Caenorhabditis elegans: one gene and its partner. The protein of the gene in region 2 interacts with the protein of the main gene of each other region in a pairwise test. Each region holds a gene or a part of one and is shown on either strand. Other genes may lie near its edges.

Region 1 (17,428 bases), on a different chromosome or scaffold from region 2:
AAATTTTATATTTCGGTCTCGGTTGTTTTTTTAAAAGGAAATATGGGAAGTTGATAAGTTAAAAAATAATTTGTTCAGCTTTTTTTGAAGAAAGTGTTAAGCTCACTTTTGTACTTCCAAATAACATTTATGCCATTTGAAAAAAATAACGTATATAGGTTTTTACAAAAAAAAATTAACTACAGACGGGCATTTTAAATTAGAAAACAGCTTGATCTGTATTTATTTTTTAAAACAACTTTTTTGCTATTTTCGCGGCCAGTAAAGTTGTTCGAGAAGGTGGATTTTTGCAAAATCTACAAATGCCGACAATGCAGACTTATAATTTTTTGAAATGTCTTGAGGTACCCAAACAATCTGGAAGACTTGTGGAATTTTTCTTTTTTTTGTATAAAAGTTCTTGAAAACACCTCAAGTTGTTCGCAGGTTCACAAAACATCCTAAACATAAAATAGACTTAGAAAAACGTTTGGAGACATTTCCAATAATGCTCGCTTTTGAAATATATGCCGAAAAAATCAGATTTTTAGAAATAAACAAAGACGGGGTTCTGTACGTCCTAATAGCAACAAGTTCAAAAGTTTAGGAAAAATCTCAAAAAATGAACCCAACTTTTGCTTCAAAATTGAGTTCTTCCGTCAGTTACAGAAGCTGATGTAAGTTTTTCAATAATTTGCAAGTTTCTAGAAACAACTTTTGGAATATTTTTTGTTGCAAATTTTCAACATTTCAACATTTCAACACCTGTTTTTTTAGAAATTGAATGCGATTATTATAATAATTCCAACAAAAAACCTAATAGGAATCTAAATTTTCTTCCGATTTCAGGTAATCCTTAATAATGTCCGATATGAGTATCGTAACAATTTCACAAATGTAACTCCTGACCAACTTCGGCAATCTCTTTACCAGTAAGTACTAACACATTTTGGTCTATTCTCATATTTCTTCGTCACTTTAATTATTTTATCATTTCTTGAACAGTCATATGTACCCGATATTTTATCAAAGTTCCGGCTCATTACCTTCCGACCACAACTGCCTTCCCAACACAAACAATTTTCAGACAATGTGATTTAAATTTGAACGGCTTCACTGATCAAGAATGTCACAAAATTGCGGATGAAGATTCTGCTGATATACTTCAACAACTTCAAGAAGGAACATCTTCATATCGAATTTGTCAAAGAGAACTTTTATGCTGAAATTTTTATCTTGTTTATCTAATGTCTTTATACTCATTGAATTTAAATATTCAAATATAATTTTCATGGTGTTGTTCTTCTTGAAACACTGCTTGTTTACTGATTGACAGGGTTGTTGAAACATTTTATTTTCAGAAAAAAGTTTCTAAGTACTTTTGATGATTTTCAGACTGTTTAGAGGTAGGCAAACAATCTAGAAGCTTTTTGAAGAACATTTTATTAAAGTTATATTATTTCTGAATACTATTTCACCCAACTCGATGAAGAAAATTTTCAGATTTTTTCAAGAAAAAAAGTTCCAAAAAGTATTTTTCTTCCCTGCCATGTGTTTCTTTGAATCTCCCGCCGATGTTTGCCAAGACATCTTTCTCTGTGAAATGTTACACAAAAAAGACAAAAAATCATTTGTTTCCTCTTGTCAAACGATTTCAAATGACGTTTTGATTATTTTTTTGTTCTCGATTTTCAAACTTACTTTTTAGTTTTAATTAAATTATGTAGATTCTAACTCATAGGAATTGATTGTTGCCAATGAGTCAGTGGAAATGATAAAATCAGCACAACATATACTCTTTGTATCTCTAATTCTCCGAATCTCTTGTTCGCATCTTTCACAACAATTCTTTCTTCTTTTCTACATCCATCGGTCACTCCACTTTTTCCAGTGACAAAATGTGCTCTGTGCTCATTTTTATCTCAATCTTGACAGTGTTGGCACAGTGCCAGAAAATCCCGAGTGAGTTTTTTTTTAAAATTAGATTGAATTGAAAATAAGTATCATCTCTGTTAAAAATTTTAAGAATGAATTCAAAAACTGACTGACATTATGACAAGTGAGAACTTTCCGTCGGGTTTTGAAATCCATACTTTCTGAAATTTTCTACAAAAATCAAATTTACTCTCGAATGAAACATTAATTGTTTTATTTTTTTTATCTTTTTGTTTCAAAAATTAGATTTTTTTTTATTGAAATGAGCTATTTTGTATGTATTAAATATTTGAATTCAATTTTTTAACATAAATTTCTATTTGAATGAAATTGTTTGGAAATGTTCAATGTAGTTTTTTTTTCAAAATTAGTTTATAGGATTTGATGTATCCAACTCGGAACTTCTCGCAATGGCTCAAAAACTTCGTCAAGTAGACACAAACCGTGCTCGTCCCGATCAAATTAAGCTCAACTATCAAGGACATACAGTAACCCGAGATGATAGTGATGCAGCACAAGCGAAACTTTTTTCAAAGGTTGATACTTCGCTGTTTCGTAAGCCATCATATGAGCTTTATATTAATTTAATGGACAATTTCAATCGACAAACCGGTGTTATTGAGCCACGTGTTAGCCAAGCTGAAGAGAAAAATGAAGTTGGAAAGTTTTTGGACTATGTGTTAGAGTCACGTCCAATGCAGGAACTATATAATTGGTTTAAAGCTAAAGGTGAGAAATTTATTTCTGTTGATTGAAAATATTAAATTTCTTAAATTTATGTAATACATAAATCCTGGTTGATCGGGCCAATACGTACTGGTACCATTGGTACCATTGAAAAACTTGTTTATTGTAATTTCAGGTCATCCAATCGCCACAAGCCCCCAAGTATTTCGGTTCTGGATTGGACAACTTTGGTTTTCACACTACTCAAGAGCTTTGGGACGCCCGGATACTTCAGGGTTTGAACATGTTTTTATTGGAGAAGTTAGTCAAGATTTGAATTCAATTTATAGTGTGAATATTTAGGCAAAAAATGGTGAAATCTCTGGAATGCATAATTGGGTTAGATTCTACGTGTTAGAGAATAATCGAACCGAGAATTTTGATTATAAAGGATTCACTGTAAAAAGATTCGTAAGTTTTTTCATTGTGAGAAAACTGGAAACTTTTTTAATTGATTTTCAGAACATAATGGCTGCACTAAAATTCACATGGGACGGCCTCTTGAAACGAGCTGGCTCAATTCTAATTGGAACATCTCCAGAATTTGATATGGCTCTGTATACAATGTGTTTTTTGTCAAGAAGAGGAAGAGAGACTTGTGATGTTAGTTGTGACTTTTGGAGTTTTTCTAATAAATTTAAGATTTGCAGGTTGAATTCGACGGATGTCCACTTCAAATCACAAGTTTTGAAATTATGCAACAGAATAAGGTTTGTGAAGTAAAAATCAAAATTACGGATGCCCAATATATGTAGTTGTGCCAAATGAGGCGTCTCAAATAAACTTCTTCTATTAAAAAAAACTATAGGAGATCACTTTTAGATTTCACAAAAAAAACATAACATTTGAAAGATAACGTTTCAAGTAGAGTTGAGACTAGGTTTTTTACCCAAATGATAAACAACAGTCCGAAAATAATTATGCTAAATAGGCCGAATATATCTGCTGAAAAATTATAGAACCTTCTTAAATGTTGTATATTTTCTCTATTTTACAACATACAATTACACAAAATAACGATATAATAGGTTTTTTTTTCAGGTGTACATTGGGAGTATCTATCCAACAGCTGGAAGAATAACTGATCAGTGTAGAGCTCAAAATCGATTCAATTAATTGAAACTGTATAAATACTATCGTTTGATAAATATATAAATATTCATTTTGGATAAACAATATATTCGTTCACTCTCCACTCTTCTTTTTTCCCCTTGCATATTTATTGAATACTGCATCGATTTTCGTTTCACGATCAGCACTGAAATTATTCATTGTAAGAAAATATAAACAATTAAAAAAAAGACTTTTGCTTATTCTCCCTTGCTTGGCGCGTATTCACTCTTACTTCAAATCCCTGCAATTATTGATTATAAAATCCGCAGAAACACAGTACCCTGTCTCGAAAAACGATCAAAAATATTTTTTGATGGCTGCAAAAAAGAATATGCGCCTTTAAGAAGTACTGTAGTTTCCATTATTTGTTGTTTATTTCTTTTGAAAAAAAAACATTGTTTAGAAAGACTATAAAGTGGAAACGTTGAAACTTGTGTACTTCTTAAAGGTGCACACACTTTTTTCAGTCTTGTATAAAACATTTATGTTAGTTACGAGACCGGTTACCGTATTCAAAATCTGAGTAATACCTCTGCTCTAATAGCTCCAATTCTGCGGCTCAAGTGCTTCCAGCATCCTTCATCAAAAGCCAATCGTTTCTTCATTGCCCACTGAAATGCATTCGAATGCTCATATGCAATTTTTCCATGCAAAAATGTTTGAGCTTGATCTCGATTTTCTCCAGCAAGAAGAAATGCAAAATGTGGATTGGTTTCATCTAAAATGAATTCTTGTTCTGCTTTCGATTCTTCTTTTTTCTTTTCTGCAGTTTCAGCTGATTTGCTGGAATCTTTCTGGTTGCCACATGCGACGTTTCTGTCTTCGGAAATCACATCATCGAGCATCAAAGGATTCTTCGTTTCTATGATTATTGCTTCTTTTTCAGATTCTTCAGATGATTCTGTCACTGACTGCGACGAGGAAATTGTTTCGGTTTTTTGTGGTTTACTTGTCTGAAAATGAGAAATTCATTTTTGAAATAAAGAAACTACCATACACATGATGTAATGAATACTATAAATGTTGCAATTGGAAAACATTTCACAACAAGTTGTAAGAAATCCTCCTGAAATAAAATTTGACATAAAAGCCAGACGCGAATCTTTGTAAAAAATACGGTACTGGGCACCCAGGGGACTCGAAACGACAGACTTATGTCGAAGGAAAAAAGGGTGTGCGTCTTTAAAAAGTACTGTAGTTTCAAACTCTAGTTCTTGCGGATGTTTCATCGATTTTTCATGGTTTTTCTCATAATTTGTAAAACATTATGTGTTTATTGTTATGTACGAGTTTTATAATCAATAATTATATAATCCGAAATTATGTTAGTACCCGTAATTTGGGTTTTTATGACATGCCCCAATTTCTCACACTAATCGAGTAATTATTAACAATAATAATATTATTATTGTTCCATTAATTTTTCTGATATTTCTAACATTTTATTTCGTTCAAAACCGTTCAGTTTTACTCGCTTTCGACTTGTAACGCTATTTTCTAGGTTTGATATTTCAAACCACGCCCCTTACCGTAATCGCGTGCGCTTCGAGACCCACGACCGAAGGTTTTGGCACCGGGCCAAGTGGAAATGCAGAGATGGTCCGATGGGCGACAGCAACCAGGCGATTGCGTCGACGATCAAGTAATTTAAAAAAAATTTTTTAACGGTTTTATCGAAATATATTACAGTACTCTACAGTACCCTTCAAAGGTGCATACCTTTTCACATTCACCAAAAAATTGTCGTCTCTAGACCCAGCACCGTATTTCTTCGGCGAAAATGGCCTAATACTCACCATGTTAAAAAGCAATACTAATTTTTAAATCTTGGGAAGTTGAAAATAAATTAATTCTTTTTTTTGTCGTTTTTTCCGATGTAATCGCGTATTGGACGTTTTAAACTTTGAATAAATATTCATTGACTCTTTTGTTTTAAAGTAAAAGTCTATATCAATCCACATAAGTAACAAAATAATTTTTGATGGAAGAAGAAAATTCGAAAACAAACAAATTCTGTCATAAATGTGAGGAGAAATTTAGAGAGAAAGGTGAAGGATTTTTGGGGGTTTTCAAGAAGCAATTAGACAGTTCACAACCGTTTTAGAATTATCAGCAGAAAATATGGATATATCAAGAGGTCTTACACATTTCGATAAAAGAAATACATATATAAATATATAGATTTGGGACTAAACGTTTTAAGAGAAAATGACCAAAGTTCGGAGAGAGAAGGCGGCGATCACAGTAGAGAAATGATTTGAGGGGACATACAATGCGTATAGAACATGGAAAAACAAGTGACAGGACACAGTGAACTAGATGAACAGAAAGAAAAAACAAGAAAATTTCAGAATATACTAGAGACAGCGAAGATTGTAACCGTAATTGAAATCCATTTTGTTGGGAGTTGGTAACGTTAGTTGGGGTTTTTTGTGTTGATTTTTGAATTGAAGAGAAGATTTTTAGACATAAACATTGAACATTGACAAAACGTTGAAAATGTGCTTGTCGTCAAGGTACTCAGTACCCAGGAGTGATTTGGGACCTATTTGGAAACTGGACAATCGGGGCGGAGATTCAGCATATCACACAGCAACACGTTGACTTTTGTCTTCTAACATCACCATTTCGGGAATCGGACATGTCTCCTGGAACTGAAAAAATGATGATAATTTCGTGGTTTTTCAAATTGGTCTTTTTGATTTCATTTTCAGATTCCAGATTTTTTTCTAACTTTTATAGTGAACAAAACATTTTTATAGTACCGATCCGGGAGAATGATATTATATAAGATATTTCTCATCTCTTTTTGGCAAAAAAAAACAATTCTTTCGCTTTTTTTCATTTTAGAAAAAAAAAAGATTTTTGGTTTTCGAAATCATGCACACAGAAAAATCAAAATAGTTTTTTTTTAAGGAAAAAGAAAATCACCTTTCTTTTGTCGTCTTCTTGTACTTCCACTTCTTTTCGGCGTTGTATCCAAATCGTCATCTGCATTTGTTTCGAGTTTCCTCAGCCACTCATCCGGTGACATTGGCTTCGCTTGTTTATTCTGTGAACTCTGGAAATAATACTTACACAGATGATGCAATCTCTTTTTTAGTTTTTCAACTTACTTTGAGCACACGTTTGCTCGGAGATTCTCGTTGATGTTGAAGAGATCCTTGAGAAGAATGTACATCAGCAGAAACATCTTCTTTCGACCACGTTCTAAGAATATCAGCTCCTTCTTTTTGTGCTTCAATTCTAGCAGGTGTAAGACCACTTCGATCACGTAATGATTGACGACGAATAGCTCCACGAGCTGAGAATGGATTATCTCCAGTTGTTGCTCCTTGTTGTGGTGACTCAAACTTCTTCCTTTTCTTACTTTGCCGTCTCGAATCACGAACTCCGAATGCAAGTCTACGTCGTCGTGCTTCTGTTTGTACCAATTGAGATATTACTTGTTTCGTTGACATATCTTCACATAAATCCATTGGCGTTTCGCCGTTCTTCGTCTTTGCATGAATATCACCTCCGTACTGACACAGAAGTTCGATGAGATCTGGTTGTGCCCAACATGCGGCTGCGTGTACAGGTTGCCAGAAATCATTGTCTCGGATCAATGGAGAAACTGAACAAGTGAGAAGAAATGCAGCAACATCGTAATATCCATTTGCAGATGCCACATGGAGCTGAAAATATTAAAATAATGTACATCTTTGAAAAAAGAATCACGAACTATAGTTTGTGGTTCTTTTTTTTCGATATTTTTCAAAATTTAATATTTAATTTTTTACAATAATTCTATTTGCGTTCATATTTGAAAATAGAAGAATGACCGTAAAATCATGTAAACCTCTAAAATAGCCATGTGTCGATTTACGTAGCTCGTGTACTCCTCGAGGAGAAGTTCTGTTTTTTTTTTTGCAAATATTTTCAAATTTTTGCTGAAGTGCTTCATTTTGGACCAATTGACCTTTTTTATTTTAAAGTATAAAGGAATTCAGAGTTTTCCCATATTTCAAAATAACGATATACTTATGTAAATAACTAAATTCTCAAGTAATTTTTTTTGCAAATTTTAAATTGAAAACTTACATAAGTTGATCCATCAGGTGCTCGTGCATCAAGCTCTCGTCCTTGTTGATGTAACATTTTCATATCATCAAGCATAGCCTTTTCAGGTGCACCACGCATTTCATCAATATAAGATTGTGTAATTCCTCTTGCAGCCATTTCACTTTCAATTACATCAAGAGTTTCTTCATGATCACATATATCGTATGGCATATTACCTTCTGCATTAACTGCTAATAAATTGGCACCAGCTTGAATAAGAATTTTTACAATATTAATATGAGCACAACATGCTGCCGCATGCAGAGGTGTCCATTGCTCAGTGTCTTGCGCATTTACATTTGCACCGCGTTCCAGGAGCAATAACATAATTTGTTGATTATCATCGATGGCACATTGATGTAAAGGTGTTAAACCATCATCATTATGAAGATTTGGATTCGCATTATCGTTGAGTAACCGTTCGACTTCTGCATAATCCGCTCGACACGTCGCCTCCAATAATTCTACTTCAGCTGCAAAATGAAGGCGTTGACGTCGCGGTCGAGGCGGCGGAAGGGCTCGTTCTCGTTCATCGTTTCGACGAAGTTGTAATCGCCGACGATCTCTGAAATATTTCAATTTTAGACTTATTTTTTTAAGGTGGAGTAGCATCATATTTATTTCTCAAGTATGCTCAACCTGGCAACAAAAGAAAATTTGAGATTTTTGCCTCGAAAGAGTACTGTAGTCTCAACTCCTCATTGCTGCGAAATTTTTATTGTCTTTTCAAAGTTTTCATGGGGTCAAGGCTACTGCTAGGTATTAAAAATGAAAATGAGAATTTCGCAGAAACAAGAGGTTGAAATAGAAGTACTCTTAGTAGGGATAAACTTTTTGCATTTAATGAACATTTTGTGTGGAGACTGGGTACCGTATTTTTGGGTACGACATCGCAAAATTTCGTATCTGGGTAATAGATAACCTATTGAAAATTCTCAAAAAATAAAATAAAATAAATTCCGCCGTTTAAACACCGAAATGCGCAAAGTAGGTTAACAATATTATATTTTTAATTGTATAATTAAATAAAAATTAACTTTCGGCCGCTCAGAGAAAGGCAAAATTTGTGACCGTCATTTTATTTTATAAAAGAAGTTTCAAAAATACTCTCAGCCTTTTTGGATCAATTTTTAGAAAATCCAAAAAAACTGATTTTTCAATTAAAAATCCACAAACCTTGCAAGAGCTATTCTCTCCTGAGCCGTCATTCTCTCGATCTCGGGCAGCTCGGCGATGAGCTCCGAGTGATCCATTTTTAAACTTTTTTCTGGAAAAAAAACACAATGAAATTTGTTTATATTTTCTTGAAACTCACACTGAGCTGAGCTCAAATGGTTCTAAACTCTTGACAAGGAATTCAGCCAGACCAAAGCAGATTCATTGATATTGATGAAGTTTCTGAAATTATTGAGAGTTATGAAAAATAAATTTTAAATCTTAAATTTTGCAAAAATTAATTGATATTCAAAAAGCACGCCAATGAATCATATCAAATCAAAGACAATGATGATGCTGAACATATAGAGGAGAAAAGATGAAAAGAGAAAGGAAAGAGTACATTTCAATCCGAAATATACACAATTTGAGAAGGAAGCTGCTGAAGGAAACAAAAGTGGAGAAAGGAAAAAGGTTTCTTGTTTCGATCAAAATGACCGGAAATCATGAGAGAACGGAAACTGAGATGATTGAAAACCATAAGAGTCCAGAGTGATCAAGTACTCTTAATAAAATTCCATGTTTATTTAAAAAAAATGAATCTTTAAAATCAAAACTGCTTCTGTAGACTTGTAGAACAATTTAGATCCCGCGCTCCCGCACTCCCAAACTCACAAAATCGCGAAATTTTGCGTCAAAAACTACGGTACACGGTGTCATCACGACAAATTTTTGTTAAATCAAAAATGATGTGCGCCTTTAAAGAGTAGTTTAAAGTCAAATTCTCGTTCCTTTACACGATTTTCATCGTTTTCCATTCAAATATTCCTAATTTATCTTTCATGTATAATATTTTAGCAAAAATAAATTTAAGACAGTATCCTATTTAGTAGTAAAATTTGGAATTTTTGAACAAAAATTGGACATTTTTTTTCTTTTTGTAAAGAAATAAAGAAAGAGTATATTCACATATTTTCAATACTAAAACAACAATTCGCGGGACCTTACGAAAATGACACCGGACGTGCAAAAAACCACTCGGATCACATCTTCTTCTCTCTTTGCACACTTCTCGGGATCCCTTTCATCACAAAACTGCTATCTCTCTGCCTCTCTTCACTCTCTCTTTTATTGAATGCAACACTTCCAAAGGGTCCACTATCACACATTGGTCGATCGGTGATGATGGTGGCGGAGTCTACGTGCCACAACCGATCACAGCTCAAGGACCGGCCAGCTGAGAAAATGAAGAGAGAGATAGAGTGATAAAGCTTAAAAGACAATAGGAAAAATGGAAAAAAAGAAGAGGAAGAAGAATTCAATGATAAAAGTGTGTTTTGATCGCATTTCAAACGACAAATGACTTTTTAAGATGCCAAAAGATCAATCAAAGTTCGAAAAAACAAACAATTAAAAGTATTGAGACAAACAACTAGTACTATAAACTAGTAAATAAAGTTAGGAAGGGATTTCTGAAATTACCAAAAATAATTGTATCCAATTGTCGAAAAACTAAGTTTGATAAATTATGCGTTTGAATTTTGGTGTGAATTTTTGATTTTTCAGCCTTCAATGTCTCAAAATTTAGGTTTTTTGAAATATAGTTAGTTTTTAGAAACTTTCGCCCGATTTTCTAATGTTTGGAAAATCGAAAAAAAAAATGTACAGAAAACGTCAGGGAAATAGATTCTCGAAAATGTTAATGTTAAAGTTAGAAAAATCTTTAAAAAGCAAAGATAGGACGGTATATTGGAAATCATTTTAACTTTTGAACATTAAAAAAAACGACAAATGATTTTCAATTTTTCTTGTTTTTTTTTAATTCGAAATTTCAGCAACATCCAGTATTTTTCCTATATTTTAAAGAAATGTTTTTTTTAATCACCGAATTTTTAATTTTTCTATGGTTTCATTGTAAATTAATTTTCCAATTTAAAAAATTCCTGAAAAAACCGAAAAATGGCTATTTTTCATATATTTCGAAAAATAAAAATTGAGCACAGCAATAAAAGAGCACTAAACACTCAATTTTCTATAAATTAATAGAAACATTAACCTATTTATGCTCATATTTGCAAACTCATCGATTAATCAATTCTATGCGAAAATGTTGAGGGTGTGTGATTTCTTTACTCTCTTGAATATTCTTATTCTCTCTGATTCTCCTATCAATTGGCCATCATTATCATGTCAAACCGTCTCTTATCATCGTTTCCTTCCATTCAGTTTTCATCGATACGGGGGCATGAAAACCGCATTTTTCTCATTCTTTTATTGGAGATTGAGAGCGGGTGTAGGGAGGAAATAAAGGAAATAAAGATGGAAATTAAGAGAATAAATAATTGAATATTCAGGTTTATATGTGATTTTTTCTGGCTGAGACTATTTTTAGCTAATTTTCAAACTTTAAATTTCGTAATAATTATGTTTTAAATCGGAAACGGCATACCAGAAAAGAGAAACGTAATTTTGCGCTTAAAATACGGCATTTGGTCTCAACACGACAATTTTTGCTAAATACAAATGAATGTGAGCCTTTAAAGGGTACTGTAGTTTCAAACTTTCGTTACTTCGAAATTTTTAATTTTTTAATGGTTTTTGGGTAAAAATTTACTTATTTATTTATTGAAATCTAACTTTAATGTTTTTTATTTTAGTTTTAAAAAATTTATTAAAGGAAAGCTTTTAAAATCGATGAAAATTCTACAGCATCGAAATTTTGAAATTACAGTACTCTTTAAAGGCGCACATCCTTTTGTATTTAAGAGTAATTTTCTTGTCAAGACCGGGTACGGTATTTTTAGATCGAAAATAGCAAAAATTCGCAAATTATCTTTTTTTTTTCTTCAATTTTTAATGGTTTTTTGTTTAATTTTAAAAAGAGAATCAACTTACAAATATAATGTATCTTTTCTTCTTTCGTTCCCTTGAAATCCCCGATATGTCTCCAAGTGCCAATCTGAAACAATAAAGTTTTGAAATTTAGAAAGAAATTAGAAATAAAAAATAACTAGAAGCGGCCAATTTTTAATGAGATCTTTTCATCAAATAAATTGAGAAATAATGAAGGAAGAGGTGAAAAAGAGAAAAAGATGAAGCAAAAACAGAAAATAAATGAAAAAAGAAAGAAAGAAAGAGAGAGTAAGAGTTTATATCAAAAGGTGGTCTTTCCTCCGGAAATTTGAGACGACTCTCTCCCGATAGATGGATGATTTCCCTTATTGGCTATTCAAGAAAAGTTTCAAGAGATCAATGATGATGACAAGAGACGCAGAGTTTGTAAGAGCAACGGTATATTTATATAGAGTTTTTATTGTTGCGAAATCTGAAATTCGAGCAAAGTTTGAACATCATATGTTGCTTAACATTGAAAAAACAATGTTGAACGTTTTTTTTTTCAACATTTTGAGGTTATTCACGAAAAATTTAGTTTTGAGAGTGATTTTTTGAGATCAGAAAATTTAAAAAAAAACTCGAAAACTAATAACTTTTTTAAATAAAAAATTACAAAAAATTTTTAGGGCAATTTTCGAAAACCGAAATTATATTTATTTGAATTTAGGTTTTTCAGAATTTTTTTAATTTACGAAGAAATACGAATTTTCAAAAGATTTTTTAAATGTTCATCAGAAAAACTTATTTATCTCCAAAAAAGGTTAACACTCGGATATAATTTATTGAAAAATCGAAAAAAAAAAATATTTTTTCAGGGTTTTCAGTTTTTCGGACGTTACCGAAAATAACTTAAAATGTTTCGATTTCACTTTTTGAATTTTTTTGTAATTTTACAAATGAATTCAAACTTTTACAAGATTTTGATAACATTTTCTTCAGAAACTGTGAAAAATTAAAGAAAATTTGCAAATATCGATGATGAATTTATAAGTTTTTAAAATCAAAATCGAAACTTTTTCGTTTTTCGATTATTAGAAAATTCAAAAAAAACCACACCCTTGTCTCTAAAGCTCTGATTTTCAATAAGTTCCGTTTAGGGGCACAAAAAAACGCGTTTAACCGGTGTAAGTTGTTGCTGATGGGAGAAAAGACAAAAAAGAATGCTCTCTGGGAGCTCCCTTGCGTCGACCGGCGGTAGTGGTGTGGCTCTTGAGACGAACATGCGTGTCTTGTTTGCAAAAACAATCAAAAAGGAGAAACGAAGGAGAAAAGGAGACGACGGACATTGATGGAAGGATTTTAAAAAAACTAAAAAAAATAATATTTCTGGTAGTTCTGATGCTTGAGAAAACGAGAAGAACGTCGTCGACGACACGAGATTGACCTTTGTTGAATTGAGAAATAAAGTTGAGAAGAGGGGAACTGATTGGAACATCAGTAGACACGTGATAACATGAGAAGCGGGGTGATCATGAAAGATTGAATCTTTTTTCGACAGGAAGTTAGATACTATTCTATATGAGAGAGAAATTAGAGATTTTCATGAAAAAATGGTGATTGATAAGCAATTGTGGCTTAAAAATGATTGGAAAATATTTATTTCAAGATTACGATTAACCTACTTAGAGAATTCAGGTTCTAACCATTGTTCAGTTTTTTATTCGATTGAAAAAAAAAACGTCAAAGCAGAAATGTGACTACTAGAAGATATGAATTATGAGAATCCATTGAATATTCATAAGATTTTTGACGGATACGTTTTCTCGTTTCAGAATTGAAGAATATCCGACAGTTTATTTGAAATCAATTGGAGTAACATATAGGAGTAATAGTGGGTTTTTAGTGGTTATAACTGTTTTAAAATTTGTAACTTTTTTTTGATTTTGCAAAAAAAAAAATTAAAATGGCTGATTAGACCACACAAAGTTTTCTGGAGTTTTTTCCGACAACGGTTTATATCGATTTTTACTCTATGATTTCACCAAATGGTGTCATTTAATTTTTTTTGCAAAATTGAAAAAAAAAATTGTATAAACTTTTTTACAGTTATATTGGGTCATTATGATCTATTTCTATTATTTGAGTTTTAAAATCTGCCTCGATTCAAAAAAAGAAACTAGAAACATACATTTTTCAGTATAGTTTCCCTTATCAATTTTATGATAGAACGAGCAAGCGCCCACATGAGAGATGTGAGTTTATAGTTGAGTCAGAGAGCATTCGAAGGGCCAAATCAAAACGAGAAGACAAACAAATAATGACTAACGGAACGGGAAAAGTTATTGGAACGTCACAACTTCTTTTTTTGGAAACATGATTTTTAATGCACTATTCGACGACAGACTTATAGTTAGAAATTTGAAGATCGAAAATTCAGAATTCCAATTTGAAACGGATATTCGACACCGAAGCACACGCGATTCCTGTTTTCTGCATTTCCGAAATGTGCTGGAAAACATGGACGATGAGGCTATTCATGTCACTTTTCCGGCAAAGTTCTCATTAAAATTCCTCATCAAACTCTTTCGAAAATTTTCCTCGAATTGAGACAAAGTAACTCGATGAGTCACTTTTGAAGGAAAAAATATATATAATTTCTTTTCTTTTTTTAATGTAAAATCTCTTAGAATTTAGTATGACATATGAAATATTGAAGCTAAAGCAACACAAGAAACACTATTTCATTATCCAACGGAGCATCATCGTCTCGGAGCCACTTGTGAGCTCCTCACTATTTGGAGCTCCAGAAGGCAAAGACAAATTCAAGTGGAGATGTGAAAGATGCAGAAAAGCAGAGAGAAAAAGGGTTCGATTTTAATTAAAACCATCCATCGAAACTACTCATCTGGAGAAACACACATAGCATCTTGCTCTTTTGTCAGAGCATTTTTTGGCAAAGAGTGTGTAAGTGAACAGAGAAAAGTGCTGCCCACATGGACGCGTTTTCAAAACTCCGTAGAAACAATTTATGCTTCTTCCAACACGTTGCCAAGCGTCTTTTGTGTACTTGCAGTTAGAATAATAAATAAGAAAGACCGATTTTCTTTGGACTCTGTAGACTTTTTCGTTTCGAAAATAGCTACAAAATGAGCAAAAAATGTATCTTTTCCAATGAAATTTCGATATTGTGAACTAAAGTTTTCATCAATAAGAATCAGATTGCATTTCAAAAGATCATTCACAAATAATATGCGTCAAAGAAATAAAGGTAAGTTTCCAAAAATAGAATAGCAATAACAGGTGAAATAGTCTGGCATCGCATGATTTTTGGTTTTATCTCATATCAAGTTCTCTGGGAAAAATTAAAAAATTTCAAAACTGTATTCTTAATTAGAATTTCAACTGTGTCCAATACAATTATCTAGATTATCTCTGATACATGTAGAATATATAACTACATAAACATAGATAAATATTCATGATGTTTCCTATCAGGACAATGCAAATGAATTGTTGTCCGGTAAAAAGGAACCATTGACACAATTTAGAAATGACGTGTGTCATATTCACCACCAGAGGGTCACCAGATACCGGAAGCATAATAATTAACGGCCGGTAGTGGTGTTGATGGTGGTCTTTCGGAAAGACCCCCCGAGGAAGTCTATGATTGATCAGTCTGCGTCTGTGTTCGCTGTATTTTCCACAACTCTCTCTTGTTTCTCTCTTCATCTCTCCCATTTCTTGACGACCTTTGGAAAAGGTGGGTGAAAAGCAGGAGGAGGAGGAGGAAGAAGTGGCCGCTCGCGCAGGAGAGCAAAATGAAAAATGCAACACAGAAATTCCAACGCACAGTTTTGCCTCAATGGCAGGCAAACAAAGTGCAAGAGGAAGAAGCAGAAAACTACTTGAGCTTGGATTAGTCTTTGAACATCCTTATCAGTCCCAGTAAATTATTGCAAGTCTACCGATTACTTTCCAAATGGCACTGAATTACAGAAATTCTCAGCTACAATTTTATAAACGCTAACACAACTATTTAGGAAGTATGCCGATGATATTCCGAATTAAAAATGAGAAAAACCTTTATTGCTGTCTTCGTACCAACCTATGCGCCTAGATGGTTCCAAATTTATATGTGCCTCTGCATTTTCGTTCCCACCCGTCCCGTCAAAACAAACAAACAATCAAATCTTTCTGGTACTCTCCTAAATTAATGTGATCTATCGTTTTCACCAATTGGGCTTCTGTGCACTCGGTGTTCGAAAACGAAACGAATCGGTTTGAGTTCGGATGTTCGAGAGAACGGTGTTTATGAGAAGAAACGCAAACAATCACAGAAATCGATTGACCGTAGTTAAGATCTAACAAGTTGATAGGATTAACAAATATGACGTCAATTCAATTTTCGAAGACAAACTATATTCAATGTGAAATAGTTTTTTTGACTGCTGTGTTATCATGTAAGATTCATGTTTAAAAAGAAATGGTAAGGAATTTTTATGGAAAAAAAGAAGGATGTTTGTAGACTCAAAATCTCAAACGAGATTTGCAAGAAACACAATTGCCATCTGTGGGCGGATAATCCCCGAGAAAAAAGAGAGGTCGCTTCTGGAAAAGGGCACCAGAAAACGATGTGAAAAACATCTTATGTGGGGGTGGTGGTGAACGGCCAAAACTAAGATGTGAATGAGAAAAATTCCATTTTTCAAGTTTTTAGGTAAGAATGGATACTGTATTGGAAATATGTTGGTTCGGTTCACTTAATATTGGATAATTGCCTCTTTTCGTTCGTTTTTGCTTGATTAAAACGAAAATCAAAACTCAATTTACGAGATTTAGATGTGAGAGAGTGAAAATATTGGTCTATGAGAACGGAACAAGAACGGAACAAATTGAGTCGACAAGAGTGAAATGGATATTGTTGGTAAATATCGGAAACTGCGAATGAAGCGGATAAAAGAAGAATTGAGAAGAAAAAAAAGTTAAAGACGTCCTTTACGGAAACAGACAAGAGAGACACCGTGTAATTTTCTGCCGAATATCTTCGAATAAAGAAAAAGGAGAAGATGTTCTCCCCGTACATTTTTATATTTGTTGACGTACTTCTTCTTTTTTCAGACTTTTTCTCTGGAATAAAATAACACTTTATGATGAAGAGACGCAGGGTGAGAAAAAATGCCTAAAAAGCAAGATGCAGTGAAGGGACGGGATAGCGAGGTTAGGTTTGTTGTGTGTGTGGAAGCGAATAAGTGAATGAATTGTGTCGATGGACGGAGCTTGAGAGGCTGAAGAAGCAAAGCATGAGAATAGAGTGTGGAATTATAAGAGACGCAGATATATTCACATTACCTTTTTCGTCGCATTTATATGAACACTATGTTCGTCTAGAAACTGAAAAATTATAATATTGTTAGATACAGTTGAGTGGAAACACTGAAGAGATTTGCGTAATTCCTATGATTTTCTTTTCAAACCAATGCAGTTAAATATCAATGTGAATCTTGAAGATCGCTAATTTTCTTAAAATCTAAATTTTCAAAAATGAAAACCTGGTTTCCACCTTGTCAAATATAGCCTACGC
Region 2 (16,049 bases):
AAATGAAGAAAGATCCGAGGATATTGGATACTGTTGCCATTGAAAATGAAGACCGATGGCAAAATGAGGAAGCGGGAGGTGGATGATGACTGGTGTCAAGTACCGAAACCACTTGGACAATAGGTGAAAAGAATACACGGAAATGAAAATCAAAAGAAGAAATGCAGGTGAAACAATCATCAAAGATTGGTAATTTCAGCAGCAGGTGTTCGGGATATTCATAAAAATAATAACATTTTGAGTTAGTCATCTTGAAATATATATTTATTTTGAGCATATGTGCCAAGTTTATTTGTCTTTGTTATTTAGAGAAAAGTTCAGAAATTGCCGTATTTTCTCATTTAGAACTGCGTCACATTGCTCAACATCCTCGGTTTCCTTTAGTTTTGATAAAAACAATTGTCAACAGAAAACAATATTCATTTATTTTTTAAGTTTTTTGATTCACTATTCTTCTATTCTCAAAATCAATAGAGATATAATTTTTTCAAATTTGAAAATATAAAAAAAGCTGAACCATTTCATATTGCATACATTTGAATATATATGTACGATTTTTTGTTAGGGAAATTCAATAAGTTGCGTTTTAGGCTTAAAAACTCAATCCGATTAATAGTAAATGTGATTCATTAGGAATGTTCAGGTAATATTTGTATTTTCTAGTAAATGCAGTAACAGTTATCTACAGTAAAATGATGCCGAATGAGATGAATGTATGTCATGAAAATCACTTTCAAAACCAAAACCCCTTTTCTCTCAATCCTTTTCTACACTAAGTAGTTGCACGCCCATACTCTCGTTTTTTTTGGAAACAAAATGTGAAATTTATTGCCCTCATACTGAATATATGGTATACATTGAAAGGTTTATACAACAAGGGATGTTCATTGGAGACTTTCGGGAACAGTGGTAGTTAACAAAAAAAGTATTTTGGTAGGCAATTTGAATAGTGTCTCCTTCATAAGAATCAATAGATTCTGGAACTTAGGAGACTAAAAAATAATAAACCTCACGAAATCTGCCTCTTCCTATATTAAATCCTGAAATTGCATACTTGACAGAAATAAAAAATAAGGGCACGTTTTCGACATGGGGTGTCCGACAAAAATGTACAAACTTTGAGCTTTAATAACTTGGCTCATAGCTGGCGCTTTTGCATTCACTAAGTGCGAATGACTCAAAAATAGTTGCCCCACCATGGTCATTATTGAGGGGATTAATTTTGGGAAGGGTAGAACACTGATTTGCGCGGGTTTCTGGAGACCGCGAAAATTGAATATTTTCTTTGCACTGAAGAGTTTTATATTTTTCAATACCATACGAGCAGTTTTTCTGACATTTGGTTCCAATTTGAGCACAAGAGAGAACTTCGAATTACCAATTTTTTGAAACTATTTTGAAAAAAATTGACCAACTTTCCAAAATGTAGGCCATCATTCAAATTTTGCAAAATTAAAAAGATGGATTAAACGTGAAAAACTTTCCTACCACTCTCTATTTTTGGGGATGAATTCGATAATTTTCATTTCTTATTTTTATAACGTGAGGAGAATTTAATTTTAAAGATTTTTCAAGATTTTTACTTTTTCTCTAATCCTATTGAGGACCGCACTTCTCGGACATTTTGGTCACTTTAAACCTCACTTCCAGCAGGGCAGGCTGGAGGCCTGCAATGCTATTGTTTTTCACTCAAACCCAAAAAATCCTTTTTACTCTTAGAAACTTTAGACCTTTTCTATCCCTACTCCCAGCAGAGCAGGCTGGAGGCCTTCTATGAGACGTATGTTTCCATAACTACGTCTGTTTTTGGAATGGTCAGGTAATCCGGATTGAGGGCCGCAGGCCCGAATACATAAAAGTATTGGACAGCCATTAAGCCTATTCTGAGCCCAATAAATCAGGATGAGTGCCGCAGGCCCGAATACACTTAAAAAAGACCCAGAAAAAATATTATCTTCAAATGGCCATGGCTCAGTCAATTTTGGTTAAAAAAGATCCAAATTTTCCCCAGTTTACCAACTTAATCTACTGCGAAGCCTAGCGCGCTTGACGCGCTAGTCACTTTTTAGCACTTTTAAATAACTATGTTTTACATGTTTCAAAAAAAATTCTGACGAATTTAAAATTTTAGGTTTGATTTACTACGAAATTTAAGTGTGTGTCATTGAGAAATCAAGTATTTCTAATGTCCGAGAGCCCTAATGTCTGATGATTTTGCCATGAAGACTATGTTGTTCAGAGATGAATATTCTCAAATATTGAACTTTTATTAGGTGGGAGGGGTTGACTTTTGAACCTAAAATCAAATTTTATTCAAATCAAATTTTTTCTGAAATTTTATACTTTTCTTCTATTTCCCAGTGAATATTTCATTTTTCTACAAAATATCTCACGATTTCCTTCGTTCATCTCGAAATTCAATTCTTCATCTTCTTGTACGGTCGTCTTTTCTGGTCATTTTTCCCATTACTCGTCCAATTTTTTTTCCAACTCCAAACGGGTTTCAACAAGATGTCATCTCCTCTTCTTTTTTTGCCTCGTTCGGTTGTCAGAGAAACACAAAAATTTTGACGGAATTTTCTAAAAATTCGGTTGGCAGACCGGTCAGCTGACACCGGTTTTTTTTTAATGAGAAAATGGGAATAAGGTAAAAATGGCTAAAGAATAGAGAAAAAGATGCAAAAAGATAAAAATTTATTTTAATTTCTCAAAATCTGCCAAATGAGAATGTACGTGAAAAAGATGAGGGAAAATGACGTATTATTGAGAGGGTAAAGTGGAGGCGGGTGAAATGAAAAAGAACAGCGAGAAGTGGACTATTGACAAGACAATGCGGTTGGTTGAGAGATGAGAGCTTACTGGTATTTCAAATATCCATTGGTAAATACCAAATGGAATGATTGAGTTATGACCAAATTATATCGCTCAAAATAAATAAGTATCTGGATTGGAAAACTCATAAGATACGGTAATTGTTGTTCAATCATGGACGAATTGAGCATACCTGTGCAAATACATGATATCATTTTGTTTTTAGATGCTTTAGAGACAAATTTTTCCTCGAGAGTTGAGAAGGAAAAACTATTGATTTTAGAAATTTAAATTTTGAAAACCGGGATTCATTGGTGAATTTTACAGATATTTGTCACTATTAACAAGTCTTTAAGTAATAAATACAAATTAATTAAGAATGCATAATAAATGTAAAAAATTCTACCATAAATTTTTATCACGGCGAGACCCATCCTATTGAATGTTTTAACTATGGAATCACTCATAATTTACGTCCAATCACAACTTAACTAAAGGAAAAAATAACATTTAAAAAACCATGTTTACTAGAGCTAAAGTAAAATTTAAAACCATCTTGGTTAAAATGAAGTTTACCTTTTATAGGCTGAATTATACATTTGAAAAAACCCACCAAAAAAGCAATAATCTTGTCGTCTGATGATTCCTCTCTGTTTTTCTCTATCTAAGCGAACTGCAATGGGCGGAGCTTTAAACAACTGGAACATTTTCAATTGCAAATAATGTGAAACACAGTCAATGAGACCGAGTGGCAACAATTGAAGGAAATAATGTATTTACTTGTGAAATACTCTCGTAAACTCTCAAAGTTGTCTGCGAAACGGGCAAAAAACTGTTCGAAGTTTTTGCGACAAACTGTGAAATGCTGCTCAAACACGTCTTAACCTGTGTGCTCCGTCTCGTATTACGGCACTGTAGAGCAAACTATGAGTTCAAACCACACACATATTAAGAACTTTGAGCATTTTGAAATTGGAATGCGAGGATTTTATTACACGGCAAGATTTTGCGATCTAAAAAATAAGGTCCCCGGTCTCGACACGACAAACGTTCGTTAAATGCGAAAAGGCGTGTGCCTTTAATAATTACTGTAATTTCAAGCTATTGCTTCGGAATTTTCATTAATCATTCATTGTTTGAAGAAAAATTTAATCAAGAAAACGAAAAACAAAGCATATGAATGTTAAAAAATCGTGTGAAACACTATGAACAATCTATGAAAATTCCGAAGCAACAAGAGTTTGATATTACAGTATTCATTAAAGGCGCACACGGGACCTCATTTAATTCGCAAAATCACAACAAAAGTGTTTTTTGTTAACTTTTCCTTAATAAAGAACAACACAATATTCCCAGATGTGAAAATTGTAATGACGCTGGGATACGGTACCCGGTCTCGTCACGAAAAAATGTTTTAATAAAAGCTGCGAGAAAAAAGACTGCGCCTTTAATGATTACAGTGGCGTCCATTCCGTTCTGCTGTAGAATGCAATTTTCTTCGATTTTTCACATCTTAAGATTCCTTCACATTTTTCTGTAAAATAGTTTTTTTCACATGCATACTTTAAATTTCTGAAAATAAGGAACTTTCAAAAGAAAATAAAGCGAAAAATTGAAAACATTGTGCAGCAGTCAGAAGTGTAAACTACTGTACTCTTGAAAGACGCACACTGCTTTTCACAGAAATCATTAAAAAATATTACAGTCGTGCCGGGTCCAGGTATCGTATTATTGAGTCGAATGGTTTATAAATAACATTATTTTGGCGACGAAATCCATTCTGAAAACTACCAAATAGAATTTTTAAAAAATAATTGCCCAGTTTAAAGGATTATGTGTTGCAGTTATTTCTGAAATATTAAATTTCCCTGATCTTGATTTAATGTTTCAGAAGTAATTGGTTTCCCTTGGCAGGATTCCTTCTCTTTATTCTTTTTCCATCCAACGAACATTTTATTTCTATTCTTGTACTCATTCCAAACAATGTGATTCATACTTTTTCCATTATTTTTTTGCCTGAAGACAGTATGTGTTTTATAAATACTTTGACCAAACACACACACACAAAATTTGAGTGACTGGTTCTTGCGCAAGAGAAACCTTTTGGAAAAAATATTCATTGGAATCAGTTGGAGGAAAGAAAGAAGGAAATGGGGGCGAGAAAAAGGAACGGGGGGAGCTGTCGAGAAAAATTCACTATTTTCGAATAAAAACCATAGAAAATTATCAGTGTGCGTGTTGTTGGGGCGGATCAGAATTCAATATTCTAAAAAATAAGAACGAATTCGCTCTCGTACTTTCAGAATGTTTGTGTGATTAACATTGTAAGAATAAATAAGCTGCAACTTTAAATCGGAAGGATTTTGATCCCGGTGTGTTAGGCTCACAACTAAGAATAAAACAGGATAAGAGCAAATGGAAAAAGAGAGGCAATCAGAAAAAAAATATATGAGAAAATTTAGCTAAAAATGGAGAACACAGAAGGAGAGAGAGAAAGATTTGCAATCTGTACTCGCCAGAAAAATTAAATTATATTCGATCGAGTACAGTTGCACAAAAATAGAAAATCAGAAAAGAAAATAATAATGAAGAGCATTTAAAACTCGTTTTTGTGCGGGGTGGGGTGTATTGAGGGCGAGAAAATAATAAAATGTTTGAGATAAAAGAGAAGGGAAATTCAAAAAAAACGGACAGAAAAGTAAAAATCCGAGAGAAATGAGTAAAAATGTAGGCAAAAATGTTCTTTCTCCTCATCACTTTACTTCTTACCAGCAGTCGTTCCAGGCCGTCCTCCGCCCACTGCTGGTCGTCCACTGTTCATTCCTTGATACTGATATTTCGCTTTTTTCTCCGATGGTTTCAGAATCTGTAAAATAAATAATGAATCAAATTTTTCTAATTTATTTGAAAAAAAACAATTTCAGTCTTATCCGATCAAAATTAATTCTATAAGCTTTTTGAGTATAAAATTATCTAATAATCACTGATGGTTCAGTTTGGTCATTATTTCCCGATAGGTTCAAGAGGATATTGGAAGAAAAAGAGTTTTGACGTAACATGGGATGCAACTACTTGAGTTAGATTGTTTTTTCGGGAAAAGAACAAATTGTCACTAACTGAACAATTATCAACATTATATATTTAAACATTTTAAATTTTTTCCGAAATGTAGGATTTTAATAAAGAAGTACCGTTTGATGGTACTTTTTCTCTCATATTTTGATATGGAAAAGAAAGAAGATGGAAGGTGAAATACTAATACAGCTCATTTTCGGTTCCTGAGATTTCTAAGATTTACGAAAAATTATTGATTTTTGATACAAATTTCACGAGATTTTGTGAAATATATTCAAAATTAAAGAATTTGATAGTTTTTTTCACGTGAAATACACAGCCACTAGCATTCTAATTTTCTCGATCATTTTAATACGAATTTGTAAATATGCCGGTGCCGTTTTTCTCTAAAAAGGTTCATCTCATGCTAGATTATTTCTTGATGTGATGCGAATGTTCAATGAGTTCCCAGCCAAAATTAAATTTGAAGAGCAGGAACTTTTACATAAATTCGATTTTCAATCTCACGAGGTTTCAATTTTTCGAAATCGGTTCCTCTTGACCAAGGATGCCCGACCCCTAATTTAAAAATCAATTGTAAACACATTTAGAAAATTGGTTTCTGATTTTCCATCTTGTTTGAATTTATTCCATTTCGGGGATCTGGAATATTTGGAAAAAGAATGAAATTGTTGGAACGTGTATTGACCCACGACGTGGCTAAGAAGATCGTATAACGTGAACTCTATGAACTAACTTATTTATTCCTTAGTTTAGTAATGTAATAAACTACTCGTCTTCTCTCCTTGTTCGGCCTTCGAATACATAACAGAAATATTCTTACCTGGAAACTGCACATTAATGTCTCATCAACGCTCATCATTCCACCAGCGTTATCGAATTCTCCACAATAATTTGGAGCAGAGAATAGTGTGACAAGTTGTCGCTTAGCAAAGAACTCATATCCATCTTCGACGACCTGATGAGCTCTGCATATCAGATCCAAATCATGTCTGTTCAAAAACTTTGCAACGACATCAGGTCCAAATGTGAACGAGACTCCTCTATCATTTTCTCCCCATCCGGTAACATCCTTGTCTGGATCAGACCAGAGCAAATCGCACAACAATCCAGTATCAGGAACATCGGTTGGTCGCATCACACGGCGAATTTGTTCCATATTTTGGAGATCTGGGGAGAGTCCTCCGTGACAGCAGAAGATCTTCTCATCAATGAGTGCAGCAATTGGAAGACAGTTGAAGCAATCGGTGAAAGTTTTCCACAATTTGATCGAAAAACGTCTCTTACCTGAAAATTATTTGGTTTAAAGACTTTTCAATAACAATTCCAGCAATTTTTACTTCTAAAAATTATTAAATTAAAATTTGAGGACCTGGTCGTTTTTTTTTGATATTTGATGAAAATTTGAGTATAAGAATCTGAAAAAAAGAGAAATAAGAAAATCTTCAAAATATACTGATTTTTTCAAAGAATTCAGTAGCTATTGTTCTCCAAATTTTTACATTGATTGAAAATTGTAATTATTCTGTTATTTTGAAAAAATAATTGACATAATTTTCCTTTTTTAACTATCGAAATTTGCTGATTGAACTGGACAAATTTTAATAACCCAGAATTTAATGGAATTTTTCGTTGAAATATAAATTAAAATATACACAACCGATGCATGGTTATTAAGAATCTTTTTGTCATCCGGAGAAAGTTTCTACTTGATGTGAACGGGCGTATGAAAATTTAAAAAAAAGCGAATATTTTGTTTTGGAATAATTTGTTATTACGTATCCATGTGCGGGTGAGAAAAATCGCCATATCTTAAGCGCAAAAAGCACCTGCGTCTCTTTTTCTCGCATGCTATCTAACGCCTATGCAAAACGCCTATGGCGAGAGAGCGTGTGGAGAAGAGAGACGCAGGCGTCTCCGCAGTTTTCATCAAATCATGGACACGTAATATCTCAATTAATATTTCGAATTTTCTTTAAAGCAAAAAAAAACCTTACATTCATCGTAGAATCCATAAATACGGTTAATTGAAGCACATTCGTGGTTTCCACGAAGAAGGAAAAAGTTTTCTGGATATTTGACTTTGTATGCGAGCAACAAGCAAATTGTTTCCAAGCTCTGCTTTCCACGATCGACATAATCTCCGAGGAACAAGTAATTGGCCTCTGGTGGGAATCCTCCGTATTCGAATAAACGGAGCAAGTCGTTATATTGTCCATGTATGTCTCCTAAAATTAAATATTTCTCATTCATATTGAACTTTTAGAGAAATTAACATTCTAAATTGTATGCTGCGAAACTTTTCAATGACATTCGGACTTTTTTTCCAATAATCACATACGTTCAGTGATGTTTTTACTAAATAATTGAACTATCTTTGAATTTTTAGACAGAATTTATAAATAATCGAAGACTATTGACCATATTCTCTAGTCGTCTCTTACATTGCAGACACAAAAACGGTTTTTGAATAATAAAAAAACTCACCACAAATCTTGAGAGGTGCTTCGAGTTCCAGAAGAATTGGCTGTGATAGGAAGATCTCACGAGATTTATGACAAAGAGCACGGATCTCCGCCTCCGACATGGTAACTGGCTTTCCTGGACGACATCCGCGAACTGAAAAATAATTTTATTGAAAAATCAAATTAGTCACTTAAAATAAGCTTTAAAGAGAATTAGTAAAATTTTAAATATTAATTAAATTTTTTACGACCGTAAAAATCGGAAAGTGGAAAAATGACAGAAATTATTGAAATAAATAGTTGCCAACCATAATAAATAATGATAATTGCTATATTAAACAAAATTCCTCAAAACCAGAATATTTGGAATTTCTAGTCGGAATTTCAAACAAATAAAATTCAATAAAATTTCTGAACAACTATACAGCTGGTTTAGTTCGAATGTCGATATTAGATCAATTTCTCTATTAACTTTAAAACCCACCTTCAAGAAGTCTGGTGATCAGATTGTCAATGTTTAAATCTCCATCGTTCGACATTGTTTTTGCAGCTGCAATCTCCGCGGCTTCTGTTGGTCACTTTTGATGGATGGCAAGTGATGTATGTTCTTGCAATGTTTTTGGCCGACAACTGATATTGGTTGTGGCTGAAAGATAAAAAATTAGTAACGTTGGCGTGAGAATTTAAAAAAAACTTCAAGGAAAACGTGAGAAAATTGATAAGACTAAGCTTAAAAAGCATCAAAAAACAACAGCAGTAGGATGTGATGCGTATCATTACAATTCCAAGAGGAAAAATGCAAAAATGAGAATTTTATCAAGAAATTGTAATGCGAATATAATATAGTTTTCAAATTTCCTGATTGGATTATATTTTTGAAGAATAAAAACCTTAAAGTGATTTGTTTCAATCGGAAACTCGATGACGTGATGGACACAATATTAAAATGTTTGAGAAAGAAAGAACACATGGTTTTTAACAATCGATATGCAAATTTTGAATTTGAAAAGGCAACAAACGCGTGTCGTGAAAACAAACAAAAAAACTGAATTATGTGAAATTTGTGCTATACTGTTTCTAAACATTGAAAATAGAAAACGAGCAACTGATGCCTTGAAGAAAAAAGTTTGTTGGTGTACTAAGAGAAATTCCTTCGTCCTGTGGTAGCAAAAGACAACAAAAAGAATTGGGGAGCAAACTGAGACCATATTCACTTAAACACCTGCGTCTCTCAAATTCGAAACGTGAATCACCGCTTTATGCACCTTGAGGCAAATCGAAGCTACTCTAATACTCTTTTTTTTTCTGGCCAATTTCAAGTTATACACCTATATAGTTTTATCGGAAAACGGTAACGAGACGACGCCCGTTCCTTCTCTTTGCCGTTATCAACGACCCCGAGGAGGAACATGTCATAAACACGACACCGTCGTCACAGCAGGCGGATAACTTTACAGCACTAGAAAAAGGAAATGGTGAAGATATGATAGAGAGAAAACAGAAGCTTTCAAAGAGAAACATGTGTGGCTGTAGTCAAGCAAAGTAGGTTCATCAATAGTGGAGGAAAATGAGGAGATCGGGATGAAATGCCGCGTATAAAAAGAGGAGCGAAAAGTGACGACGGACTGAGACGCATGTGTATGTGCCTGTCCCTATGTGTGAGTGTACGAGTGGAGCGAGAGACGAACGCGCGCCGATCCACCGGCCACTGCCCGCAGTATTGATCGATAACTCGCCACCGTCGTTTCCATTCTTTCGCCGAAACAATTCGCAATGTTATTGCACTACCTCCGGTGGCACGTGCGATATTGGTTCGACACTACTGACATCGTGTAAGACGTCATGGAATCAAAAACGGCGACAACTTCCGAGAAGGTTTTCTTATCACACTTTGCGCATAGTCTGTTATCTTTTGAAAAGGGTAACGCTTATTCTTGTGAGAAAAAACAACAATAAAAAACGGCTAGAGAAGCTTGAGGTGCTCTTTCTTTCTCTTCTCTAGAACAAATGGGCAAAACGAGATGTACAAGTATTTGATTTGCACGCAGAACGTTTCGAAAAGAGGAAACGACGACGAGAAAGAAAAGATTGAGAAAGGCAAACACTTCCTGTGCGGTAAAGATATACGACATTCCAGACTTTTTTCAAACAACACTTAATAAACAATTTTTTATTATTAAGCATAAAATTATGACAAATTGTATGTTTCTGCCAACAAAATGTTACAAAAAGAACTATTTACGAGCCATAAAATTTCGTAATTATTTTTCTTTTCATTGCGCGGTGTAAAACTTTTCGATGACTAATATAATGTTAACAATATAAACTAAATGATAACACATGTTATTCATATTTTAAACCAACTTCTTTTCTATTCAATCGAAATAAATAAATTCTGGAATAAATACCCCAAGAAGTCATTCAAATCACCTTAAGCCTCTATGACATTACGGAAAATAGTTATATCAAACGAAAATTATTTAAAAAAGAATAAAACTACTTGATTTCGTAACATAAACAGTTTCATAAACGAAAAAAGCGATGAAAAACATTCAAAAAATGCAATAGGACAAAAATTATTTTGAAAGTCCGCAAACACTGTTCACAAGTTGACGCACAATTGCACACAAAAAACCACCGTACTAGGCTCCTTTTTTGGAGATTTGTGAAAATTTCGGAATTACGCTTTCAAATAAACAGCTAAAAACAATTATTAGTCAAAAACTTTTCTCACGAAAATTTAGTATCATGTTCGAGCTTTGATTGAGGTGAAAGAAAACGTAAGCACATGTGAAAAAGATCGAGAGAAGGCAAAATAAGACCGAAAGGAAATGAAAAAAGAGGAGGAAAGCAGGGACGGACGGGGCAACGAGATGCTCACGTTGAGATGAGGGTCTCGAATTCAATTTATTGAATCGCGCAGAAGCAGAAGCAAAAAAAGTTGTTGACTAAACAAGTAACCGCAAGTTTTTGAGAGGGCGAAAAATAGGAAGAAAAACGAAGATGACAAGGCGCAGAGACCGGGAAGAAAAACCGTTTCTTTGGGCTCGAAGGAACGCCTTGTGCTGGAAAATAAAGACTGATTCAATCAAATGTTACTATATATGAGCATACAGATGCAATTAAGATTTTTCGTATAAAAAAGTTTAGGTACATGCTTCTAATGAAATATGTAATGAAAACAGAATGTGATTTAGTTATTCAACATACTGTAGCCGCAATTAATAAGATCACATTGAAAATATGTATCGAAAAAGTCTATGGCTAGAATCATTCGTTATTTATTTGCTATCTGCTTTCAAATAGCGCTGAGTCGACTCAGTAACTACGAGATAGAACAGAAGCCTTCAAAGACAAGTACGGTAATTGTATGTTTTTTATCAGTTGATGATTTTCAGCTAGCTTAGCTTAATTTTTAGATATTCGTGAGCAAAAAGTGAAAACTCAGCAAGTTTTTGAAGAACATTGAATCAGCTGTCCAAAAGAGTTCGTGAGTGGGAGGAGTATCAGTTTTTTAAATAAAAATTCTATATAATATTCAATCACCATATTCCAAGAAATTTTTAATTTAACATTTTTGGCTCTTTTCGAATGAATCGTTATTATAAAGGCATAAACAAACATCTCGGGAGTTTAAAATGGGAAATAACAGTGAATTCGTTATGAACTGACTGTCTCGTCTGTATTCGATGTGAAATTTCCCAATAAACGATGGGAAAGTGTCGGAACGAAGCGATAGTATAGCAATAAGGTCAGAACAATTGACGAGATTTAGAGAAATATACATCTTTCACATCACCAGCGGCAACATTCGGAATGATTCAAGTCATTCTCCGACCACTTCCTCCTAATCGAATTACGAAGAAACGTTCTGTTTCTTATTCTTCCAGATGACCAAGACTAAAAAAGAAAAATGAATCCACAGAAACAGAGAGAAAGAGAGTACAATGTGACGGCTTCAGAATACCTAATAGTAAGCATAACAGACGTTTATTTTAAATTTCAAAACACTTCAGGACCAGAATACACAATCAAAAGACACAGGTCATATAAGTCAATGTTTTGTGTAACAATGAATAGAAAGACGTGTGTTTTGTGTTGAAAAAGGGATAAAGATCAAGAGCATCGGAGACACGTATCGATTTCACTTGTCTTTTTTGTTTAAAAATATTGAAATAAGAAAAGGTAAGTAACAAAACATACTTCATCTTTTGAACTCATTGAACACGCCACCGTCAACTATGAATCATAGAATAGGCCAATTAAAACGGAAACATTTATACAAAATGTAAGATTTAAAGTTGGTTTGTCACTTGTGGTCATATTGTTTTTTTGTTGAAAATATATTTAATTTCCATTTAAACACAAAATGAAATTTCAGGCTTAGACTTGATTTTTTCTAAGTCTCCAAATAAAAATAATGATGCCATAAATGATCATGTTTTGATTGAAACAAAGAATTACAAACATTTTAAGTGTACAACTACAATACCCAAGTGCTTTGAAATTCGCCCACCGGGTTTATCAACTTTGGAACTAAATTTGATAAATACCAAGAAATAATTAACGCCCACCTGTATCTAATAAGGAAATGTCTGACAGACTATATATCATAGAACAAATCTCGAATTTAATGCTTTCACAATTATTTCTAACAATGAAAACAAACCAATTGTAAACCCATCAAGTAAGTGGAGTGAAAAAAATGAAACCAATATATATATATTTTGTTAAACCAATACCTAAAATTTTCATTCATTCACCATAAAAAGTTTCTGATCATTTTCTGAAGAAATATGATACTTTTAGAATTCCCACCTCTTTTGTTTTTTTTTCCAATTCCAGAGAATAATTAATGATAACAAAGATCTACTCCCACCCATTCAGTAAATGGTTCAAAACAGGAAGTTGTTCTCTAAAGCATGTCTGGAAGAAAAGGAGTTTTGAAAAATGAATAATTTGCGTATTTTCAGAGAAAATATTTCCGGTTAATACCGTTGGGAATCTAAGAGCTCAGCAATTTGTTCCTAAACTCAATAATAAACTTTTTTTTTTGAAATGGAAGAGTCTCCATAAAAATGAAAGCCATTAGCGAAATTCTACAAAAACACATCATCATAGCTTCGAACGACAAAAAAGTTTGTAGAAAATAACCAAAACAAGAAAACAAAAAACATGGGCTGAAAAAAACGGAAAAGTGAATGTGAAGAATGCAAAGAGAATCTTCGTCTTCTTCTTCTTAAAAATGACGTCGTTGCTCTTTTCCACACTGAATACTGCCTGTTTCGTGTCTCCTTGTGCTCAATAGCTCATGGAGTACGTAGTGAGAAAAACGACGAAGACGACGACGAAGAAGAAGAAGGAGAAGAAGAGGCGAGAGAAGGGCTCTTGGAGCAAAAGAAAATGGGGCACCGGGCCAAGACCCTTTGTGTTAGAATGAGAGAAATTGAGAAACAGACGGTTGAAAAAAAAACAAGAACATGACGGAAGAAGAGAACGAAAACCTCTGTGGGAGAAAGGAAGGCATTGATTCGGGAAGAAAAGAGAAAAACGAAAAAGAAACAACGAAAACTGGAAGACAAAAAAGTTTTGGGTTTTTTGAATTCGAGAAGAGAATGAAATGGAATAAACCAAATAAACTAGTGCTGAAAATTGCACAGCGGCATTCGAATTACATTATCTAACTGGTTTTCCGAGTGAAGCTGCAGCTTACACATGTGTATATGAAAGTTTGAAATAGTTGAAAATTGGATATCTGATGTGAAGATAATTTTTTTTTTTAATTTGGAAAGTGTTATTCAATGAAGTTATAATAATTTGGAAGCTTTGTAATTTAAAAGTAATTTAAAAGTATTTACGAGAAGAAGACGTCTCTAAATGAGGACTACATTTGGACCTAGTTTCATCTTAAAAAAAGAGCTTTTCTAGCAGTTATTGTTTTTGGCTCTTCTATGAAGTTAACTTTGGGAAGAACGGCTGAAAAATTAAAATAACTGTCAGTGTTCAAACACTGTAACGAATAATCTTTTGGCTTATGGAATGGCACACCTAGACATGTCAGTTATCACTTTTCCTACGTAATGACACAAGCTGTGTAATGATCATCTAGATTTCATTTTAAAATTGAAACCACCCAGAATGCTTTGTTTTTCGGGTGAGAGATATGAGGAAAGGCAGTGGACGACAAAACATTCTATCCTTTGATCATCTAATATTTAGGCAAAGTACAATTGGTCTTGCCACCCATTTTCCTTTCTTGCCACCCAATTTTTTCTTATTCTTCAGCCGTTTTTGCTCTTAGTGAAAAAAGCTGAACATCAGTTTTACACGGTAGAATGAATTAACACAAAATATTTGCAGAGTCAAAACATTTGAGCATCTAACCTTTTTCAAGTTGTAATTTTGAGTCAAGTATCATTTATAAAATTTTCTCTCCAATATCTGAGACGACTACACGTCGGAACAAGTAAACAGCAATTTAGCATAGAAAAAGTTGGAAAATAAGAAGATTATAGGCAACGAGTGCGTGGGAAATTTGATGTCAACATGAAATAATAACACGTTTTTATTATCAGTGACCAAATCTCAAATCTTGCTGAAAATGCATCAAATTGAGAGTATTCAATACTAAATACTTACAGAGATTATCTGGGGAAAATGCGACCTGGCTGGCGTTCATCTAACAAAAAGCAAAACACATTGACGTAAAATTTCCAGAAAGATTTCAAAATCACTTGACGTCGGGAAGACTCAAATTAGATGGAATTTTGTTGGAAAAATATTTCTGGCGTTTTTTAAAGGATATATCCATAGGTCATGGCAATACGAATTTGCAAATTTAATTTTCTACGGCAATCAATCTAATCATAAAATTAATTTTCTCTGGTTTAGCCTATTTGGAAAATAGAGTTTTGCGTTGAAATGCAATTAAATGAATTGGTTTTGAATGAGCCGGAACAATCTGTGTATAAGTGTTCGAAATTTATCTATGACTTTGAGAAACTCTTGCGACAATAGAAATAGTTTAAGGAAAAAACTCACATTTCAAAAGGATTCGTTTTTCAAGGCAGTAAAAACAAACTGAATTCATATTTAAAACCAACAAAATGTTCTTGTGTGGACTTTTTTGAAATGCCATGAAGAATGCCATGAAGAAATCACTCAATCAATAATTTATTTTCGTTTTCCTAATTTGTTGAAAGTTTAATTGAAGGGTGAACAAAAATGTTCAAATGCAACTTGGCAATAAGCACACGTGTTAAAAACATTCTATGTCATACATCAAAATGTACTCCCCACTTTATTCAAAACTGCAAAATTTTTTGTGAACTTTCTCCTTGGAAATTGTGTAATCGATACGAAATCTTCCAAATCGTAAAACATGTACATAGAAGACGGTCTGTTAAATGCATTATACATAGTTAAACATACATTTTTCATGTGGTTTCAACGTAAATTTTAAGTCATTTAATAAAATTATCACAATTTACATAAAACATGTGTATGGGCATAACTGATAAAATATTTCAAAAACCGGTAGTCCGAACTGATTTGTTGTTATAAATTTGTAGATCACAATTCGGAGAAAATATGTAATAATGAGAAATGAGCAATTAAAAGTGAGAAACGAGATGTATTCTGGGAAAAATTGACATGGTATAGAGTATTAGAGAAATCAAGAAGGCCACCATTGAGTAT

The links.
Region 1: the proteins of gsp-1 (region 2) and gfi-2 interact in a two-hybrid assay, tested with the Caenorhabditis elegans proteins (one large-scale study listed by BioGRID).

What each region holds. Positions count from the first base shown.
Region 1 is NC_003279.8:9,732,366-9,749,793, reverse strand, and holds gfi-2 (ANK_REP_REGION domain-containing protein), read right to left. Parts: upstream 11,979-17,428; 5' UTR 11,908-11,978; intron 10,292-11,907; exon of another isoform or gene 10,143-10,291; intron 9,256-10,142; 5' UTR 9,175-9,255; exon of another isoform or gene 9,173-9,174; intron 9,125-9,172; 5' UTR 9,111-9,124; coding exon 9,034-9,110; intron 8,423-9,033; coding exon 7,837-8,422; intron 7,431-7,836; coding exon 6,870-7,430; intron 6,827-6,869; coding exon 6,685-6,826; intron 6,408-6,684; coding exon 6,331-6,407; 3' UTR 5,648-6,330; downstream 1-5,647. Other genes in the region: spp-25 (Saposin B-type domain-containing protein), read left to right, coding at 829-911, 1,067-1,205; Endoribonuclease endu-1, read left to right, coding at 1,878-1,941, 2,293-2,643, 2,777-2,901, 2,944-3,051, 3,103-3,243, 3,291-3,350, 3,682-3,756; K02A11.2 (SPOR domain-containing protein), read right to left, coding at 3,826-3,898, 3,945-3,994, 4,284-4,706, 4,751-4,819, 5,550-5,552.
Region 2 is NC_003283.11:10,675,370-10,691,418, reverse strand, and holds gsp-1 (Serine/threonine-protein phosphatase PP1-alpha), read right to left. Parts: upstream 8,998-16,049; 5' UTR 8,891-8,997; coding exon 8,836-8,890; intron 8,506-8,835; coding exon 8,374-8,505; intron 8,115-8,373; coding exon 7,884-8,114; intron 7,174-7,883; coding exon 6,710-7,173; intron 5,678-6,709; coding exon 5,570-5,677; 3' UTR 4,914-5,569; downstream 1-4,913. Other genes in the region: F29F11.20 (uncharacterized protein), read right to left, coding at 2,856-3,004, 3,425-3,518; ceh-22 (Homeobox domain-containing protein), read right to left, coding at 16,027-16,049. UniProt on the Caenorhabditis elegans protein: Serine/threonine-protein phosphatase which antagonizes the function of air-2 in the regulation of chromosome cohesion. Dephosphorylates histone H3 at 'Ser-10'. Dephosphorylates translation initiation factor eIF2alpha.